Linked DNA regions of Styela clava. The protein of the gene in region 1 purifies or fractionates together with the protein of each later gene. This does not show direct contact. Links are inferred from orthologs where the notes say so. Each region holds a gene or a part of one and is shown on either strand. Other genes may lie near its edges.

Region 1 (3,762 bases):
ACTTCACTAATATCCACATAAAAAAATTTATGCATGAAGGCAATCGGCTATGAACTAACTGTATGTAACAGTACTGAATGAAGGCACTATGCTTCATGGAACATCAAGTAAAGGGTGCCATAATTAGACTAAAATAAAACAAAAACATGAAACAAGCTTTTGTAGACATATCATTTTGACATCAAGACAAATTGTTTTATATCTGGAGGTGAAAATCCATTCGACTCCATACAGATCTTGAAACAAATTTTGATGTTAATGAGTAATTGGCTGCGAAATGCAATCAGGTCAGCAAAGTTGAAAAAGAAATGATATTAAGATTTCTAAGCAAAAATAGTTTCTTCCCTTCGCTTTTTAGTGAGTATAGTCCCAGGTTTATGTTGGGCTTCAGGATGTCTTTCAAGTTCAGATGGGCAAGTAGAGACCGGACTCTCAAGCAATGCTTGTTTCAGGTCATAAAAAACTGCCGAGTCTTCTTGAGTAATAAATGTTATAGCTGTTCCAGTCTTTCCCATTCTCCCTGTACGTCCAATACGATGAGTATAATCTTCAATCGACCTTGCCATATCAAAATTAATAACCAAAGAAACATCAGGAATGTCGATACCACGTCCAGCCACATTTGTGGCAACAAGGATATCTTTACTTCCTTCTTTTAATCCACTCAAAGCGAATTCACGTTGTTCCTGACCTTTACCCCCATGAAGTGTAGTAGCATTGTATCCCATTTTTTCCAATGATCTTGCCAAGACGTCGCAACCTTTTTTCTGATTTACGAATATAATAATAGGTGGTGTGATACCTGCTCCCAAAATTTCCAACAGCTTTCTCCTTTTTGCATTCTCCTTTAACAAATGAACAATTTGTTTTACTTTTTCTATTGGTTTTCCAGCTACTCCAATATTCACAATCGCTGGGCGTCGCAAATAAGTTTTAGCTAACCTTTCAACAATAGGAGGCATAGTTGCAGTGAACATGACAGTCTGTCTAAACTTATGCTTTGATAGAAAATTGCTTCGCATTAGTAAATCATCATCCAACTGCTCTGAATCAGGCTTTTGATTTGTCACTGGCATATGATCAAGAATTTTCTTCACATCAGGTTCAAAACCCATGTCAATCATCCTATCAGCCTCGTCAAGAACAACGTATGTGCATTGGCTCAATACCAGATAGCGGTTTTCCAAGACGTCAATAAGACGACCTGGTGTTGCAATAACAATTTCACATCCCATGCGCAATTTAAAACCTTGGTCCTCCCTTGATAAACCTCCAATGACTGCAACAGTACGCATTCCAAGTTCTTTACCAAATTTTATGGTTTCCTCTTCGATTTGTTGTGCCAGTTCACGAGTCGGAGCTAAAATAATTGCATATGGTCCTTTATCTGCATCTTCTAATCTCTCTATTTTAGGCAGTGATGTTATCCATATCAAGAGGGGGATTAAAAATGCCGCTGTTTTACCAGAACCAGTCTCTGCAACGCCGATAATGTCACGGTTCAACAGGCCGATGGGAATAGCTTGTCGTTGAATCGGAGTTGGATCCTTGTAACCAAGTCCATCAATGATTGCTAGAAGTTCGTCTGGAATATCCTTACATTCTTTCCAAGATCGTAAAGGTGGTGGAATGTTTCCACCCTTAGTAGCTATACTGTAATCCTCACGGAAGATTCTCCAGTCTCTTTCTTGCATTTCCTCTAAAGATTTCTTTGTCCAATGTCTATCATCCCACAATCGTTTCTTCTCCTTTTTCAAAGCATTTACCATCCTTTTCTTTTCTAAATCTTTTTCTTGTTGTGTTCTACGATTCTCCATAAGTTCTCCATAAAATTGTGATTGTGACTTCTTTTGGACTTTAACGTCAATGCCTGCAATAAATCCACGGCCAAACAAATGAACTTCGTGTTTTTCTTTATAAATTGGATTGAAGTCAACAGAAGTGTCATCACCAGCGTCCCAATCAAACACGAATTTTCTGTCGTTGAGACGTCGGACGCGTTTTTTCTTTTTTACAATACCCAGGTATCGATCTTTGATTGATGACAATTCTTTCTCTGCGTCTTTATCGATACGTTTCTTGTCTAGTTCATCGTCATCATCTTTGGCTCTTCGTTCTTTGCGCTCTCTACGTTCTCGATCATATGGATCCTCAAGCATTTTTCTCCCTTCGCTAAATATCTCCCTCTGCTTTTTACGCATCTCATCCATTTGTTTTCGCTTTTCTTCGACTTCTTGTTGCCTTCGGGCGATTGCTGCTGCAGCACGGTCCTCTTTGGTAGTGAATTTTGGCTTGGCAGCAGCATCTTCCTCCGCCTTCTTTTTGGCAAGCATTTCCTCAAGACTGAGAGGTTGAACCTTTGGCTTTTGAATATCTTCTTCCTCTTCAACTACCATTCCATTTTGAGAATCTTGTGACTTTTCCTCTTTTAATTCTTTATCAGTTTTATTATTATCTGAATGACTATACTTGTGAGATTTTCGATCTCTGTCTTTTGATCGAGATCTGGATCTTTTTCTGTCATGTTTCTTACGTTCTCTTGATCGAGAACGCTTTCGTTCTCTTGAGCGTGATCTTTTAGATCGTGATCGATGTTTTTTCTTGTCTCTTTCTCTGGAACGAGATCTGGATCTACCCATATTTATGCTCTGTGAAGATGAAAAACAAAAAAATATAAATCACATTATCTAGAAAGGATGATTGGAACATTAAAGCTGTGAAGCATCAAAATCACTGCAGACCTTTTATTGAAATGACTATGTGGTTAGAAACACAACAACAAGCATAGAAACACAACATTGACTTTTTTCAACTATCTATAACGAAGGGAGATTAATAAGCATTACATTTCGGCAATTAAATTAGTCAGTGGTACACACAACTACTTGATGAATTTAACAAACAAAAAAAGGCACAAACAGTTAGAAAGCAGTATACGCCTAGCACATGAATAATTTCTATTTAGATATTGCCATATTGGGTGTGAATTTGAAACAATCTCATGGAAATGAAGTAATGCACTGTCAAAACTTAGATTCAGAAAATGAAAATCCTTTTAGATGTAAATCACTTCTTCTAACCATAGTTTTTGCTTATAAATTATACCATATAGAGCCAAGAGAGCCATGGGAACAAAAAATCACTTCATTTTTTACCATGTACATCAGAATATCTGCTTTTTAGTCAAATATCTTTAATAACACTAATAAAAAGGCAGTTATATGTTACCACACAAACCATAATCATCCAAAGTATTGTGGACACAAAAATGCCATTGCATAAAGAGTGCGACCTGGCTACCACCAGTCAAACTATTACTTCACCAAGTATAGAATGATATAGGGAATAATCATGCATATGATATATGAAATTGCCTACATTAGATAATTTCTCATATACACTGATGTCATATCTCATATAAAAAGAGGAAATCATGTGAAATTGGACACAAATTCAATAAAATTCTAATTAAACCAAAACATTGAAATATGCACGACTCGATTCTTTAAAAGGTTTATGACAGCTTTATGGTATTTCAAATCAGCACATTACGGTACTTTGTAATGAATGGTTTATTTTCTACAAATTCGTACTTTAGAATAATTAAATTCATTAAGAATGTTACTGGACATCTGAAACAGAAAACGAAACTATCAGGGTCATTTCCTTCTCCAAAAAAACCATTGGACAGTTTATGGTAGCTACTGCAAATTTTAGAGAAAATGAAATAATATCTAAAACTGATAGTGATGTATTTTAAAA
Region 2 (2,728 bases), about 3.7 Mb from region 1:
TAAAAATGTTGGGAACCAAACGATTTAAACAACCAAATAAAACATAGGAACTACTCTAGGTCAAACTCCTGCCAAAGGGATGAAAATTTAGTAGTTCGATAAAATTAAGGAGAAGATAAATGACTGTTGCAGACTAAAATTATCAAAAAGTATTTCCAATACTCTGTAATTGAAACATGACCAAAATTAAGCCAAAAAAGGGCATTTGAAAAAACGCATTATCAGCTGACAAAGTTTAACGTTGTAACTTAAATGAACTGACACCCAAAACACTAAAGCAGGGTCTTTCACTGATATTTTGAAGATTATTTTGACAAGGTATAATCTACAAAATAGCAAATGAAAGACTGTAATTTAGTCTCAACTCAGTGCAGCAGTGAGACCAATCAACACACAGTTGAGGCACAAGAAATAGTAACATTATCTATAAAACCCTCAAATGCAGAGTTATTTTTACCCTACATAACTTCTCAGATTGAGTTAATCTTAGTTTTGCAGTTGTGACATAATTTACAGATAAACTTTATGCCCCAAAAAATCTCCTCCCACAGCTGAGTAAATCCACATTAAAGAAGAGTAAGAATTTGGAAAAAATGAGGACGCTTAGTTTCATAGATCAAGTATAAAGATCAAAATCTATTCGTTTGGATGAATAGAACTGTGATTCATCACGATCTGTTCTTCGAACCAAAACACCATCTTTAAAATAACCTTGTTCTTGCCATTCAAACATTTCTTGTGATGTGAAAGGTCCATGGATTTCAGAATCTTCCTCAGTCCATTTAAATTCCCATTTTATTACATTTTCACCGTTACTATTCTCATTTCTATTAGTACTTCCAGATTCATTCATTTTGTCTGTTTCATCTATGTTACTTGCTAATATATCCAAAGCATCATCGTCATCCGCGTCATCAGGTATAACTGGCTCTTTCGCCTTTTTCTCGGCCTCCATTTTTTCAATTTTATGTTGAAACTTTTCGTAAGTATCTGTATAAACATCGTAATGTCCGGCGCCAGTCATTTCATCTGCTAGACCAGTCAATTCCAACAATTTCTCTTTCTGTTTCGCTTCCTTGTCATTTTCATTACTTGTGCTTGTTTCCTCATTTGTAGCATTAAGGTCGTAAACTTTTTCTTTTCGCCATGAACGTTTCTTCTTCTCCTTTCCGCCGTGGCGTCGAAGAGCTCTGGTTAATGTTTCTCCAGGTAGCATGAGAGCAACTATTTTCTTCAAAACTTCAAGTTCATCTAAAGTATTTTCTCCATCATCAGATGAATCTTGCTCCATTTCAACATCTTTCTTTTTAACTTTCATCCAGTCAATATTATCCAACCAATTATCCCGAATGACGTTCTCCTTCCGGAAATGATAATTCCCTTGAACATCAAAGTCTCCTTCAGCCATTTCCTCCTTTAGGTTGAAAGGTGTGATTCCAACTTCCTCCCCTGTGTCCACATAATCATCTTCTGCTCCTTCAACATCTTCTTCTGTTAATTTTTCAAAATCTTCTTTCTTATTATTATCTTCTTCATCACTATCAAGGCTGTGGTCGAGTTTGAATCTAGATTGATGGTGACTCCGTCCAACAATATCTTCCTGATTATTTTTTAGTTCAAATTTTTTTGTAGATGCATCATCATATTTTGGAAATTTATGCACAGTCTCTTCTGCACCAGCTTCACCACTGAATCTCACTCTTTTTGACATCTCAAAAAATACTGGTATCTGGCTTGGATACCGTATAGAGCTGTGACATACCGGTACGGTACCTATAACTGTAAAAAGTAAAAATTTCAGTCAATGAATATTTTTAAGATAAAATAAAATTGGAAAATATCCATTCCAGCATTTTACACTGAATACAGGTATCACTAAACTCTGAAAATGCCATCAACGGAGCATCATAAGAGGCCGAGGCTTGAAGTCACTGCTGCTTTTGCGGAAGCCTTCTTCGGAGATTTTCTAAATTCCACGACCCGGCGCTCGTTTTTTCATTTACGAAACAATAAATCTCTCTGGGTGTTCGGTATGAGCATGAGTGAGCACATTGTCCGGTCACTTTGTTAGCACTTGCACAATATTAAACATAAATAATAAGCAAAGCGCATACTATTTAATATATTCATCCCCACTATTGAAGTTTTGAGCAAAATAATCACTTTCCCAACCCTTCCAAATACAAATGGATGTTTCTCGACCCTTGACCCCAGAATTTTTTTTCTGGAGTTGGTAATGTGTTTTCTCGTAGTATCGCGTTACTTCAACTGATAGTGTTCCCTAAGTTGTTTACATGTTAGTTTTTAAATGTTCATAATCAGTCATTTCATTTCATTTCATTTCAGCCAAGTAAATAAATATTGACCTCACCACAGAAAATCCCAGTACAGAAAATTTCAGTGTTATCGTCATTTCCGACACATATATATCATCGACTGGCTCATCATCAACTGGCACCCACCCCACTTGCTCAAACTGATTGGACAATAATACAAATGGCATTTTTACACCAACATGCAAAATTTCTGCAATTGTCCTGAGGTTCCCTATTATATATATATATATATATATATATATATATATATATATAATAAATACCACATGGGGACCGCTGCTCTCGTCTGATTCTGTGAACTCGCTTTTTTAGTCATCTTCTTCCTCTGTTTTGTCCACCATTTATTCTGAACTGGCACCCACCCCACTTGCTCAAGCTGATTGATTGGACAA

Evidence for each region.
Region 2: the proteins of putative ATP-dependent RNA helicase DDX23 (region 1) and CD2 antigen cytoplasmic tail-binding protein 2 homolog purify together in Homo sapiens (affinity purification with mass spectrometry; 6 studies listed by BioGRID and IntAct, counting the BioPlex papers as one, with this or other methods). This does not show direct contact. The link is inferred for Styela clava from reciprocal best matches to the Homo sapiens genes DDX23 and CD2BP2.

Annotation. Positions count from the first base shown.
Region 1 is NC_135258.1:10,986,558-10,990,319, reverse strand, and holds the start of putative ATP-dependent RNA helicase DDX23, read right to left. Parts: upstream 2,640-3,762; coding exon 324-2,639; 3' UTR 1-323. Other genes in the region: cyclin-H-like, read right to left, coding at 3,757-3,762. UniProt on the Homo sapiens protein: Involved in pre-mRNA splicing and its phosphorylated form (by SRPK2) is required for spliceosomal B complex formation.
Region 2 is NC_135258.1:7,298,757-7,301,484, forward strand, and holds CD2 antigen cytoplasmic tail-binding protein 2 homolog, read right to left. Parts: upstream 1,779-2,728; 5' UTR 1,712-1,778; coding exon 617-1,711; 3' UTR 607-616; downstream 1-606. UniProt on the Homo sapiens protein: Involved in pre-mRNA splicing as component of the U5 snRNP complex that is involved in spliceosome assembly.